Linked DNA regions of Tamandua tetradactyla. The protein of the gene in region 1 interacts with the protein of each later gene in a pairwise test. Links are inferred from orthologs where the notes say so. Each region holds a gene or a part of one and is shown on either strand. Other genes may lie near its edges.

Region 1 (7,986 bases):
AAAGCGGAGTCCTCTGCTGAGACAGCGAGGCGATTACATAGTCTCTGCCTGAGCACTTCTCAGTCCAAACTTATTTCACCTAAAAGAGGAGATGGCAGGACAAGAAGAAATTGCAATCAGACATCCCAGGCGCTTTCCTCGGGGTTCCTGCAGACTCCCCCTCCTCCTCCTTCACGAAGCCCCCATCGCTACCCTCCGAGCTCTCCTGCCGTCTCCCAGGTCACTTAATCCTTCCTGGTTCTTCCAAGAAAAGCGAAGTTACTTTTCTGGAATTCCCTGCGGAGCTGGAGCCGTCTACGCGCCGGGAGGTTGCAGGGGCCCCTCGGGGATGAGCGCGCCGCGCGGGACGCAGTGGAACGGGAGGGGGCGTGCCAAGCAGCCCAGAGTGTGCCGGGAGTGCGGGGGAGGGGAGGCGCCGGGTTCGCCAATGTCACGGTTTAATATTTATCCCTATATCATCGTATTGTACTGCTACCCTCCCCGCCTCCGGGGGCCTGGACGTGCAGGAAAAGGCAGTCCTGAGGTGGCGGGGGGCGTTCAGGGGTCATGCACAAGCTGGTGTGAACGGACTGTGGGTCCACCCGTGTGGGGCCGCAGAATGTGGGTGGGGGCTCCCAGGACCCTGTAACCCGATGCTTAAGAGAAGGGGTGGTCAGACATCTGCTCGGAAATTGCTTCCTTTCTTTCTACTTTCAGTTTTTCTATGAGGAGACATTTAAAAACGACTCGCACACACGAATGGTCTTTTGGGGGTAAAGGAGTCTAGCTAGAAACGAATTTTTCTTTCAACTCAGAGGACCTCCGTGGTAGAAATCCAGAAAGGGCAACCCATCAGGTTGGGGAGGGCTTGGGCTCCCGCTACTTGAGGGTGGGCGAGCAAGGGGTCCTGGAAGGGGAAGTCGCTCAGGGGCCGCAAGGGTGGGAGAAAGGGGTTTTCACTACATTTTCGCATGTCGCCTCCTTAAAGAATAACTTCAAGAGAAAGGTGGCATAACCATGACTCGCCCTAAGTTTTCAACTGATTTCAACCACAGTAAAACTCGACTTCCCACCCACCTCCCCCAAAAGTGGGGTGGAAGCGGGCCAGGGTGTTAATGCTGTGTCTGTGGGGATGAGAGGGGTTGCGACCTCCGGGTCGGGATTCGCGGACCTTTCTCCATTTCCAAGACGGTCCCTGAGGTAGGTAGCTGAGGCGGCTGCACCATACGTAACTCCTGGGCTTGAGGCCCGGTCGGGTCTGCAGCCGAACGCCCCCGCACAACAAAGCCCGGGGGAGGGGGCACCCAACCTCCCCTTTCCCTTCAGCTGCAATCCCGGGCGCAGGGTATTCCCTATCCACCACCGCGGTGGCCTCGGTCAAACATTCCAGCCGCGTGTCCTTAATTCCTGGGACACCTCGGAATTACCTGCCTTGCAAACCGCCGGCGGGGAATTTAAGAAACAACAACCCGCGCAACCCCACTAGGTGCATACGGCGCTGACTGCGACCAGGACAGAGCCCCTCACCCTCGCGCCATCCGGAGCTTTCCTTAAAAGGTGAAGACGAATACTGAGGGAGCCGAGGAACGAGCCACCAGAGCCCGTTGGGGCCCTAAGCAAGGGCGAGGGCCACACAGGTAGCGGGGGAGCCGCCACAGGCGGCTCAGCCAATCCCTCCCGCAACCTCCCCCCACCCCCGCAAGTCCAGCGGGAGGCTCAGCAGAAAAGGAAGCGTCCGGGGAGGTTCCACCCCCGCAGGGAACTGCGCCCCTGCCCCCGCCCGGTCCCGCACAGCCCGCAGCAAGCGCTCTGGCTCTGTCCCCCGCGCTCCCCGGGCCGTCGGCTTCTGCGGAGAAAAACGGGAGCAACAGTGCCTTTTCCCCCCCTCTCCTCCTCTTTTTTTTTTTTTTTTTTGTTGTTGTTGTTGCTTTCCCACGCTGGCTGAATGTGACTTGACCCCATTTCAAAAAAGTTTGACATAGTGCTTCAACATTTCCGCATTCCTCTGCGACTACAAAGGCTGCAGCCGCCTCCTTCTGCTTTCTGTCTCTGCTCCCTGTCTTCACACTCAATGAAATCCTTCATGTGCCTCTCCCGAAGCCTGCCAAGTACCCCAAGGGTCGCCACCAGCGCAGCGACAAAAGGGCACACCGGGACCGCGACTCCTGCGTGTGCGCACACGCAGTTGCGCCCACGTGCAGACGGGCGGGTTGCGGGGCCCGAGCGCTGCTCCCATGGGGCTTGCGTTTTAACTTCGATATTTTAAGTTATAAAAGTAAAGTTTGAAACTAAAGCAAACGGCCTGCATGCAGGCTGGCTGCGTTCACTCGTCTAACTGTACACAACACGCCCGCAGGGGTTGCCAGCAGGAAGCCTGCGTTAACATTTATCTCGTGGTGGGGAAGGTGGAACCCATACCCACACCTCCGTGAGCTGGAGAGAGAGCTTCCGTGGGGAAATAAATATGGGGTACCGAAGCATACTCTCCCGCATGGAGTCCTCAGAGGCAGAGCATTCTAAACTTTACTTGTGGGTTATTATGTGAGTGTCGGAGTGGAGTTCGAGTTCCGTTTGGATAAGTTTGTGTCTGTGTGGGTGTTTGTGGAAACGGATGTGCATAGGCACAAGATGTCGGTGTTGGGGGGTATTCCTAGTGTGGGTTGTCCCGCTTTCGCCAGATTAAGAGGAGTTCCTCTAGAGCCCCAAAGCCCCCGTAACCTACCCGGTGTCGGTTCAGAAGGGGTTAACCAAAGCAAGTCCAAGGACACCCAGACCCCCTCCGTCACCCCCACCCCTTCTCTCCCCACCCCGCCTCCGACACTGGCCCAGGCCCGGTAATTCCCCCGGGACCCTCCACCCCGCAGCCCACCCACCCGAGTGCACAGCCCCTCACCTGAGGAGCCTGGCCGCCTCGGGCCTGCGGAGGGACCTGCGTGTGTCAGTCCGACCTCCGCACGTGTCCACGGTTGCGCGGAGCAGGTAACTCGACTTCGGGGAAGGCGTTACCAGCACTTTCTCCGGCGAGGGGGTGGGCACTGCGGCGGAGGGCGGAGGGACCGCGGAGGGCGCCGCCCGCGTCGCTTGCCGGGGGCTGACGGGGGCCGCGCGGCTCCCGCCGGGGCTCGCGACTGGAGCCGGGGAAGTGAGGGGTGGTCGCGCGGCTGGGCGGGGACCTAGGAGGCCGCCCGCGCCGACACCCACGCGGCGGCGAGGCTGGGGGCTCGTGGCGCCGTGGCAAGCAAGTGTGCAAATTAAAGCCTTCCGGAGGGAGGGGAGGTGGCCAAGCCCCGGCTGTGCCCCGAGCCTCTGGGTTCCGCAGCCTTCGGCCCCGAGCGGTAGCGGTGGTAGCGGGGGTGGGGGTGGGCGAAAATTTCCGGCTTTCACAGTAACTGGAGTGGGGGACCCAGCGGCTGAAATTAGAGGCGTGAGAGGGAGAGGGTGGGATGTGTCGTCCGGAGTCACCGGAGTTTCCAAAGCCAGGGTCGCTCAAAGTTGGGGTTTTGACAGGGTGAGGCGGAGATAGCATCAGTTTATGTTGTGGACAAATGGGAAAAACACAAAGCAACCAACAGTAATAATTAGGGGCCGTGGGAGTGGTAAATACTAACACTTTCCAAGAAACTGAAAAATCAGACCAAAAAAATAACTCTTCGTCTCTATTTAAAAAAAAAGTTTGGCAGGACGCCTTGCAGAAAAGAAAATACTAATCTGCCCAAGCACTTTTCACTTTCAGCATGAGCTACATTTGTTTTGTTTTCCTTTGCTTCCTTTCGGCCGCACAAAGCCCTATCTTTTCCTTTTGGACTGAGGATATGGTTTGGACATTGTCAGGCACTCTTGTGGTTAACGATCTACTTGAAGGGGCTGGCTGGTTCACAATTAAGTGGTTAGCAACTGCTGAAGGTTCACTAAGGTATTTCTGAGGAGTTAAAGACTAGAATTTAGTGCAAATAACAGAACTGCAAGATAATAGGCACACACACAAAGAGGGAGAGAACGTGATTCGGTGGGTTCTCAGTTTAAACGCATTATTGGAATTCTGAAATTTGAAACCTTCTAAGAAACGAAGAACGTGTACTTTACCTGCTGAAAACCGTAATACTATTATTTCAGGTGAAAATGAGATTTTTGGGGGGAAAAATTTTCAAGACTTTCTACATGGAGTAAAAGAAAACTTAAAATATAGCTGTTTTTGGGGGAAAATTCATTGTTTTATATTTGTAGAATATTTGAAACTCTCTTAAACATCTTAAAGCAAAGCTTTTTTTTAAAAAAGATATTTCAGTGCTTTGTGGAAAAATTAAAGTCTGCAAAATTATGCTTGAATTGGAAATATTACCTCTATAAATATTCTTTGAGTTTTGGGATTAAACCATGTTACTAATTTCACAGCAGATTACATTTTTTTGCCTTAGTAAAATTGATTCTATACTAGTGTGAAGTAACAGGTTAGGTAAATAAAAGTTGATGTATTTCCATTAGCAAACATTTTTCAATGCTTTATAATAATTTTTTTTCTTAAATAATGAAAATGAAAAATGGCATGTCTTTAAGCTTAAGCAAATTCATAAAGTGCATTTTGTGTTTAGAAGCATACTTCTAAAATAAAATCTAATTTCTGAACAAAATTTGTATTTGTAAAGATCTTTATAATCTCATATACCTTAGAGACTTAAGAAGGCAAATTATTAGATTTTGCATTTATACAAAATGTTGGATCATTTATTAATCACCAGACACAAATGAGAACCCTCCATTTTGGTAATTGCCCATACTTATCATGCCTTTTAAAACAAAATTTACTTGCTGGTAATTAAGACATTTATATAATCCACAAATATTTGTCACAAAATAGTCATAGTAACCAGCATATGATTGCAAAATTGTATTTGAGTAAATAATTTAGTTAGAAAAATAGTTAACTATAAATATCTTTAAAATTAAAAGAAAAGTATCTTTTCTACATTAGGTTGCATTTTTTAAAAATTGAATTTGTCAACAACCACAGTTGGATTGGAAATTCCCTGATTTAGATTACTAGGACACTCAGACATGTAAAAATCAATGAAACTTTATTTATCTAAATACGCTAATATCCAGTGTTGATTTTCTTCCTCTCATCTGCTTTTTCTGATATTACTTATTCATGCTAATTTCTCATTGTTCTCTCTCTCTGGTTATGGTTCACATTAAATCTTAGTTAGTTAAAGCTTTAGACTCAAGGAGGTTTTACAATGGATTGTATAAAATTAGTAACCACCGGATTGTTTTTGTTTATGAATAACTTCCTCTGTGGATAACAGGTTATCATAACAAAATTTGTGCAAAGTTTATAAACTTTGAACCAAATCCTTACTCCCTTGGTTAGGAGTCTTCCATGAATGAATACAGAGCATTCAAGAATAATGATTTGCATTAGTATTTCCATACCACATAACAGATATTCTAAAGTTGCAAATCATTTTACAAGTTTTTAAAACTTAAAATTCATCAGTGTATTTCCAAACATGCTATTGTAGCATACCCTGAAACTTTTTTCAGTGTCAGACAAGGGATGTATTTCATGTGTAAACATTTTTATATCAAATATCTTTACTTTTTTGTTTTTACTGAAATAAAAATAATTTTTAAAATCTGTGGTACATAATTAATAACCTTGTTTGAGAAATTAGTAATTTTAAAAAAATTATTATTTGTATTGGTGTACTTCTAATTCTATAGCATGTCTGATTTATATTGGCTATTTGAATTTATAAAATATATTTTTCAGAAACTTGGGAAATGCAGTTTTGCTATCATCTAATATGCCATAATTTTAATTGGAGGACCAGGTAAATAAATACTTTTTGTCTGTAAAGATCTATTTATTGTTTTGATAAAAACATCTCTGGGTTAATAATTTTGAAATGACTTCCCCTCACTTGAATATGTGTGTCAATATTATCTTTGTTAAATAATTACAATGAAAAACTTTAATTTTTAACATAAATGGTATAATTCTGTTCATTTCAGTGCATTCTTTTTTTGATGAATCTATGGTTCATCTTGGAACCATAGATGTTTCCAAGGTGTTTTTTAAGGTTTTACCTCAAAATATATTGAAAGTTTGCTAAATATCCTAAGACACATCTGTTATCTTATCAACTTTTTCCAATCTTAAAATTCTGAACTCTAAATAATTTTTTTAAATATCTTTATTGACAAATCTTCACATACATACATTCCATACATGGTGTACCATCAGTGGCTCACAATATCATCACCTAGTTGTATATTCATCGCCATAATCATCTAAATGATTTTTAAAGTTGTCTTCTAAATAAATTACTTTCTGATAACTTGGAAATTATCTGGAATTTTTTTTTAAGTTGCATGTGATCTAGTACATTACAGTTAAGCAGTAAAACTTGAAAAGATTTGGATATCTTCTGTGAAGGAAAATAATATATAGGGTAGTAGCTTATAAAATTTAAGGAGAAAAAAACAGACATTATTACCTCTTAGAACATTCCGTTTTCATGGATTCTACTACTCTATAATTATCACTGTGCAACGTGTCACTGCTATGTTCATATTTGTTTGTCGTCATTTTTTCTATTTTTTCCCTCTGATAGGCATCCATACCTTCATTTTCCTTCATGGACATATGTGCGTTTCTTTGTGAATATCTGTATAATCTTGGGTTATGGTCATGATATGTTTGAAACATGTTCTTAATGGCCTTTTGATCATCTATATTAGAATTTTGAATAATCAGGAAAATAATTATGGAAATATAAAAGATGATAATTACATTAAAATATCTACATTCCTTTTCAGTAAACACTGTCCTATAATTTTCACTGGTTTCTAAAATTTCTTTTTTAAGATGATACTTGTATCTTGACTGCCTACTTGGCCTAAGAAGTCTGTTGCCATAGCTACTTTTGGTTGAACTAAAAGGTGTGTACATATTTTACAGAAACCATTCAGATGAAGCAGTGAAGGTACAGCGCAGTCAGGGGGAATGATGATAAGGTGGAATCTGGGAGTTATCAGGAAAGAAAAAGAGAGACACCTTGGGGAGAGGCTTCTGTGAACAAGTAGGGCAAGTGAAGGAAGCACATCTTGAGGCTGTGGGGCCAAGAGGAGCAGCCTTGGTGCTCTAAGTATGGCGTATCCAGGCAACCTGATTCTTTCAGAATGAATTGCATTCTATGTCTGTCCTATTTTGCAATTATGTCTGTCTTAGTAAATGAGCTTATGTAGTACATGTATCCGTATTTGTGCAATTCTGTTTTACGTTGTCCTGTTACGGGTTTTTCCTGAAAATAACATGGAATGGAATTCTTTACAGAATTCTTTCATTGACTAGAAGAAAGTATATAATAGCATAGTTCTGTGGATCAAGCATTTTACTAAAAACTGTAGAGAAGGTCCGATTTTTACTACTATACGTTTGTTCAAAGTTACTCATATCTTCATACCTCTAGTATCTTGTTTGGCAACTGGCAAATATTTTATATTCAATAAATGTTTGTCAACAGAAAGGTTGGCTCTGCATCCCTTAGTACCTCTTGTTTGGACTACTACTTTCTATTTACTTTAGGAATATGTTAGGATAATTTTTTACATATCCCAGAAAAGTATTTTAATAAAATTTAAGAATCAATGATTACTGATTTCAGGACCTCAGAAACATGCCTCCTCTATTTGCAATTCCCTTTCCTCCCCATTTTTAGCCCTCTTCTCTGAATCCTACCATCCTTTCAAGGCCCAGTTCCTTTATAAAACTTTTGAGATGTCCCTCAGCTGGCAGACATCCCTCCTGCACTGAACTCCTTAGGGTCATTCACTTCCTGCCTTATTAGAAGCTTGATGGTCTGTTATACACCCTGATCTGCCTGAGAGCATCAGCTCTGCGTTTTTCCCTTTGGAAATCCTCCAGCACCTGGCCGTTGCCCTCTGGACATTGTTAGTGTTCAATGAATGCAGCAGTGGTTCTAGTCTCCCTCCGGGAGTGTTACT
Region 2 (7,548 bases), on another chromosome or scaffold:
GTCTCAATATCTGTGTCAGCTCTGCGCTGAAGTTTCTGTCAGCTGCTATTTCTGACTCTCTCCAAAATGTTTCCTCTCTGACAGGATGCTAGTAACTAATCAAGACCCACCTGGAATGGGTGAAGTCACATCACCATCTAATCAAAGGTCACACCCACAATTGAGTATGTCACATCTCTGTGGGATAATCTAATCAAAAGTTTCTGACCAACAGTATTGAATCAGGATCAAAGGAAATGGCTGCCCCCACAAAACTGGATCAGGATTAAAACATGGCTTTTCTGGGGTACATAATAGATTCAATCCAGGACAGCAACCAAGCAGTTAATGAAGAAAACTTTCACTTTATACAAGTAGTCCAACTAACAAAAGAAGAAAGAATGATAAAATTAGAAAATCACTGTTTTGCAGTTACTAAGGAAATAATGGATCTAAGAAATAATTGTTGATGACTGCTAGAATCACAAAAATAGATATTTGGATTATGTGCCTCTTGATGGAAGTACACAATATCAATTAGGAAGAATTTTTGCAAAAACATTGAACCTGAATTACATCCAGCTAGATCTAAATAACTTACAAGCAATACAGGTGGCAAAGAAATAGTTTAAATGTCATCATTCAGAGGTATTCAGCAAACAATTGTTTCAATTCAAGAAACAATTGAACAACCCAGTTTCTTCAACAAACAAATTGCAAGGAAATAAAAGAAAGAAGAGAAGAATCTATAGATTAGAAGAGATATGATATATATATATATATATATATATATATATATATATATATATACCAATTTCAGTATTTTAACCTTATTTTCTATCTTTTTTAAATAAATAAATTATTAATAACTGTTTAAGAGAAAGTGAAAAGTGATCTGTGAAAAAACGAAAGGATATACTAAAATGATGAATTATGTCCACCATTCAATTAAATTTAAGAAACATATTGGGAGGGAGAAAGGGAGATACTATGGATCCTACAGGAATAATTATCAACTGATGTAATGGAGAGAGTCAAGCTTCCTGGGGAGGAGGTGGCTCATGCGTATTTTGAGTAAGTCTGAAGCATGATCTTGATTTTCTTTCTCTCATTTAGAAACAATCTCAGACCCAACCATAAGCAAAAAGCAATTAAATAAAGGCATGTCATTACCTCTGTACCATTCAATTTACTCTAGTCACTCTAGTATAGTGAGTTCATATATAGTTTCATCAACTAGGAATGTAAACATCATTATCATAGTGGTTTGCCCCACGTACAAGATTGGAATGAATTCTACTTTCCTTTTCATTATTCTCCCAAATTCTATGCCAATTCACCTATTTTCCCATTTTCTTTCTCTCCCCACTTGTAAATTACCCATCGTATTAAAAAAATCATGGCTGTAACAATTCCAAGTTTCAGCTGCCCACTATGTTCCCATCTTGTTCATCTCCTAAATGTGTTTGAAGCATTAACAATAGGTTGTGTTTCATCCTAAAGACAGCTGGATTTCAGGGAGAGGTGAAATATTTCATTATTTCACTCTATTGTCCAAGACAAATGTGCTATTGTGTTACATGTGAAATGTCATCTTTGAAGTCTGTTAAGGGCGTACTGTGCAGTGAGCCATCTGGAAAACACAGTGCAGGCTGAAAAATAATTACAAGTCTGTTTATTGCTTTTTTCCCAGTTAAGCCTACCATGACAGCTGCTAAAGACACTATGTAATGTAAAGAGTAGAGGCTCTGAAGCCACACAGGCTTCAACCTCCAATAATGACAGTTAGTGTGCAAGTTACTTAACTTCTCTATCCTTTTGCCCTGTCCGTAAGATTGAGATACTGTACTAATGTATAGCTCACAGAGGTTAAACGAAACAGTTCCTGTAGAGCACTCAGAATACAGTGCAAGTGTGACTCCTCCTCTTTTCTTTTTAATATTAGATTAATCAATAATATTTGGAAACAAGGTTGAGCAGGTTGGTTTTGACAAGAGTTCCATTGAACTTCACATGGCTGCCTTTAAGTGTCAGGGAAGAAAAGGGCTTTGGAGAATAAGTGTGAAGCTTTCTCTAGAATTCCCTGTCCTGCGGGTTAGGACCACCCAGAAATGCTTAATAGGGGAGCGCTGTCCGTGGTGCTAGTAGCCATACGCGCCCCTGACAACATTCTCCCTGGCCAACGTTCCTTTCCAGTCAACTCAGGCAATGAAGCTCATATCCCTGCTTCCTGGAAAATTCTGTCATTCTACTTGTTGGCTTTTCCCTACCTTACTCATCATTCTATCTGTGCCTCCTTCAACAACTACAGCAACAACAACAAAATTATCTGCCATTTCCTTATCAACTCTAAGTAGTTTCTATATTTCAGAAACTTTGGCTATGCCCACCACTTAAGAAAATGGCTCAGACTGTCTTTTCCTAAACCTTTTGTTAAATTTCAAAGAAAGCCAGGGCAATAACACACGAATTAGTTAACTTCTGTCTTATCCTTTAAGACTCTCTTTAGTTGTATCTGCTCTAAGAAATTTTTCCTGCTTCGCCAACTTGGGTTAAATTCCCCTCTTCCTTACTCCTAAAGCTCCCTGTAAATACATCTCAGTAAAATTATCACAGTACATTAAGCCTTTCTATTTATTAGATTTGAGTGCCACAAGTGAGAGTTTCTTGAAAACTAACACCTATAATTTATTCAATTTAGACTCCTAGAAAATAAGACATGGTAAATTCAGTTTTGTTGAACTAAATTCAATTACTTGTTCCATTAGAAGGAAGGTCCCAACACAACTCCTTTTAAAAGCAACATGCATAGTTGCTTTCACTGTGCACTGAGTCTCGGAGTAGCTAGTTCATTCTGATGAAGATATTCTGGACTAATTTCATTTGCCATCACACTCACCAACATCGGTCAGATGAAGTCCCTTAGGATCACTGGCAAAGAACCAATACTGCCCATTTTAAAGGCTCTGTCTTCCCAATGCCCATATTTCCTCTCCCTTCTCCTATTCTTCTTAGACACCTGGATTCCCCAATACACTGTGCATAGGAACTGGTCTTTTAGAGAAAACAAAAACAGCTTCTCCATGGTTTTCACCAAGAAACAGACTTCTATTCCCCTGACCAGACCAATGCATGGGGTAGCCATCAACAAAAAAAAGGACATTTTTTTCCCAGATGAAAACAGAACTCAAATAAGAGTAGAGTAATAAAAAAAGAACCTGAAAACTAAGAAATGGGGGTACAGTGGAAAGAGAAAAAAATGTTTTTAATGCTGCTCCCATCCTTTCCCTATCCAAGTGGATTTTAGCCCTGATGAAAGTAAGTAGATCTTCAGCTATAATCAACATTTCATGGGCCCCACTGTCTTTAAATTGTAAAGAACTCTTAGTTATACTATACAGGGTTGGAGGAGGAGGGATCAGAGCTAACATGCTAGAAGAAGCATTGTTTTGAAGTTTCTCATTCTTGAGTAAGCAAACTATTGGCCTCCCTTTAAAACTCTATCTTCCTCAGCATTCTAAACCAATATATATGTTTATATATATATATAATAAGAACTGTCTAGTGTTAGGAGAGACTCATTCTTGTGTAGTTCTTCACCAAAGTTTTGAGGCAAAAAAAAACACATAACTGTGATTCTTCACCTATTTCCATGTAGCATCAACTGTACTTTTTAAATCTGTAAAGCAAGGAATATATTAATTCAAACTTACCTAGAAAGAAAGTAAAGGGGAAAAAAAGCACATCGACTTTAAATCTTCAGAAGAGGATTTAATGACAGGTTCAGCCTGTTTAATGACAGCCAAGCACCACACCCTATTTTATTTTGTTTCATTATTACTGCATAAATTTCCTTTATTACTCACGATAAATAACAATCAAATACCTGCCAAGATGGGCGTAAATAGGTAATAGTGCAAAGATATAGTACAAATATCATGAATATGTGATCATAAATTCTTTAAAATGTATTTGTTCAACTCTTTCGTGTAACACGTTGCCATCCTCAATCTCAAACTGATTTTTCTTTCCTTTTTCTTTTCTTTCTTTGTCTAAGGCTTGCATCCATAGTTGAAAATTTAAAAAGAAAAAAAATGATCACACAAAACAAGATTCTCAGGATTTTTCGTGTTTTTATGGCTGACTGATTCAAATATGAAAACACACCTAAAAGAAAATTGCTGATTGATGCAAGATGTGAAACTGTGATGTGCAAGTACTGCTTGAGGTTGAATTTAACCTATATGACAGGTGCAGAGCTGTCACTTTGAGACATGTTAGACGAAATTATTTAAAATGCCTTTTACAAGGGAGAGACTAGGAAATGTCTCCAAAGTGAAACACACTGACTTGGGGCTGGTATGGAATAGAAATCCACTGCTCCACCTGCTGGAGATTAGAGGCTGAGTACAGTGGGTCAACATTTTCAAAAACTTAGCCTCTGGCTTTGCTGGACACCTAGCGAGCCAGCAGCGCGGCCCGCCTTCCACGCGGCTGGGCAAGCCAGCCTCTGACGCATGCGTCCCCGGGACCCAGGGCTCCCTCATCCCTACCCCCGTCGGCTGTGACGTCACCGGCTGCCGGCCAGGCCTCCAAGCGACCACAGCCGGACAGGTTCACGCCCGCCAGCCCGGCAGGGGGCGGGGCCTAAGGGGGTGGCGAGAGTCAGGCCGGTGGCCCAGCTGGGAACGCAATTCATTCCCAACGGGCTCCCGGCTCTGAGAGCGACGCTAGGCAGTGAAGACGCTGCGGAGTGCCTATACTCTGCGGCCCAAGCCGCTTTGCGCTCAGCTACCACCACGCCAGGCGCCGCGTCCCAACAGCCGGCCGGCCGTATCGGCTGGTTCTCGGGCGCCAGGGAAAAATTTTAAAAAATACCAGTCGCTCGGCCACTGCAAGAACCCCGAACAGCAGAAGGACGCGAGAAGGGGTCGAAGCCAAGCTTAGCTCTCCAGTAGGGGAAGGCGCTCCGCGGTAGGTTGGGGAAAAAGAGGAGTGTTGCGAAGCTCACGGCCAACAGTGGATTATCCGGGCCGCGCAGTTTCTGGGGGCTGCGGAATGCGCCAGGAGGACAAGGGCATGCTCGGTGGTGGCAGCGACGATGTGGGCCTGGCAAACGCAGCGGCGCGGGGGCAAGTGGAGAGGGTGCGGCAGCTCCTGGAAGCCGGCGCGGATCCCAATGGAGTCAACTGCTACGGGAGGCGGCCGATCCAGGTATTTGGGGCGGTCGGGCCTCGCCGGCAGGCGGCGCTCAAGCGCGGGGCAAGGTATTCGTGCGCCGGGATTAGAACCGAGATCTCCGCGGATGTAGACACTGCGCAGTTGTGTCTGTTGTTAAAAATGTGAAACGCTGGCGTAAAGCAAGTTTTCACCCAGCAAAAATTCTAAAGAAAGGGATAGAAAAGTCTACTACCTCAGTTTGGTTTTCTTTCTGATAGTGGAAAAAATATTCACAATAGTCCCTCTGCCATCTCGTGATCAAAGATGGAAGGTATAGATTCAGGGGCAAAGGAAAGGGGAAAAGGAAAGGGAGTTATTAGTAAAGGGGGACAGTTTTGTTTTGTCTATTTTCAATGATAAAGATAAGTAAAGTACAAATTCTACAGTCTGGATAGGATTTAAGGAACTCTACAAATCATAGCACATGAAAAACAATTTTACCATTCACTTTTAAGTCGCCATACTAAACCCTGTTTACCTTTCCTCATAGAGACGAATAGAATACAAAAGAAGGACACAGGATTCCTCATCCACAACTTTTAATTTATTTATTTCATGTTAGCAGAGTCTCATGAATATTATATGAGAAAAAAATGTCGCTTTTTTATCCATAAAAATTTCCAGACATTTCTCGCTTAATTATTATACCAAAAACTTGGATTAGAAGCAACAATTATTAGGTCCTTTTTAAATGGCAGAGTGCCCTCATAAATAATTATCCGTTTAATTATTAAAATACAATTATTAAAGATATTTATAAATTCCACTTTAATTAGTACTGATATTTTAAATTTTCTTTAAAATCTAAGTTAGTGCTTTTGTGCTTTATGTTGAACAATTATGGTTCATATTTAGCATTTACTTCACCATTACCTTCCAGAACTAAGTGATTATTAAGGAATCTTACTAATCCTCCAGAATTTAAAGAAAATATGTGTACTCCTTTTGAATACACAGCAATTCTTAGAAAAGTGGTATAATGAAGGATAGGTTAAAGGCAACAAAAATATTGTAGAGTGGTTCTTAAAGACTTCAAATTTATTAATTGTAAGGCAAGATTTCTTATATATAGTTTTAATTCACCATTTTCTGAGATACTAGGAATCACTTTATTCTATTCTTCTCTCTATGTAAAATTCCCTTTATATCACCAATAGAAATGATGAATTATATCATGGCTTTTGAAGAGAGGAAATGGATGTTTCTAATATTCATGAAACAAAAAAAAAAACCTAGAAGACTGCTGTCTTTCAATTACATGGTACATTTTACAGCACATAAACAAACATCTCCATTTTAGATGTTTAGTTATCAAAAATTGCTTAAAATTAAATGCTTGCATAACCTACATGTCCACAAATGGATGCTATAGGATTACTCCTCCAAAACATTTTTTTTCTGAATTATGCATTGTCAGATTTGACTGTTACCATCCAAGCAAAATATTTACTATTTAACATTATAAAATCCTACAGAAATTATGCAATGTAAACACAGTGGTTAAGTTGCATTAAATATATATTACATACTAAACGTGTCAGCATTTATTTTTAACATTAGCATCATTAAAAGTGGTTACCTATTTATTTAAAACAAATCATTTATTTTCATTTTATAAGACTATGCACAACTTGATTTTGTTTTTCCCCCTCTATCTCCAACTCTCCAGTTTTGGCTCAGATTATCAGAGTATAATCCGTTGATGAGTACAGATGCATGACAGTGAAAATCAAAGGCATTCCACAGGGGATTTGCTATGAAAACTAACAGTACAAACCTTTTTTTAAATTTAGTTGTTTCTTATTTTCTCCTTTTAAAGAAATATCCCACCTTCTAAAAACTATATATCAATTGCCTAATATTTTTAGGCCTAGACTATGTAGGAGGGGGATCAAGGGAAAAAACAAGACTTTAAAACTTAACTCCTACTCATAAATAATTTAGCAACATGGCTTTCCATGTTCTAGTGGAAATTTTTAAAAATTCTCTTTTTCCTTTTGGACAATAAGCACTTTGTCATTAGCTGTTTCCGCAAGTTTGGAGAATAACATGGAATGCAATCTAAATTGACTAAGAAGCATAAGGGTGGGCGGGGGGCAATAACAAGACACCTTAGGCTTGTACTTGCCTCTACATTGGGGGAGATTTCATAAACAACTATTTAGTTTAAATGGCCCCAATCCAGCCACCTCTGAAGACTAGTTCCCAGTCCCTGTCGCGCTGCACCCGCCCCACCCCTCTCCCCGCCTTCGCCCTGACGGCTCTGCTCTCCCGCGCAGGTCATGATGATGGGCAGCGCCCGCGTGGCCGAGCTGCTGCTGCTTCACGGCGCGGAGCCCAACTGTACCG

Evidence for each region.
Region 2: the proteins of CDK6 (region 1) and CDKN2B interact in binary tests that used the Homo sapiens proteins (3 or more experiments, as listed by UniProt). The link is inferred for Tamandua tetradactyla from reciprocal best matches to the Homo sapiens genes CDK6 and CDKN2B.

What each region holds. Positions count from the first base shown.
Region 1 is NC_135327.1:123,417,063-123,425,048, reverse strand, and holds the start of CDK6 (cyclin-dependent kinase 6), read right to left. Parts: upstream 3,018-7,986; 5' UTR 2,873-3,017; intron 349-2,872; exon of another isoform or gene 80-348; 5' UTR 1-79. UniProt on the Homo sapiens protein: Serine/threonine-protein kinase involved in the control of the cell cycle and differentiation; promotes G1/S transition. Phosphorylates pRB/RB1 and NPM1.
Region 2 is NC_135328.1:74,575,473-74,583,020, forward strand, and holds the start of CDKN2B (cyclin-dependent kinase 4 inhibitor B), read left to right. Parts: upstream 1-4,547; 5' UTR 4,548-5,037; coding exon 5,038-5,193; exon of another isoform or gene 5,194-7,478; coding exon 7,479-7,548. UniProt on the Homo sapiens protein: Interacts strongly with CDK4 and CDK6. Potent inhibitor. Potential effector of TGF-beta induced cell cycle arrest.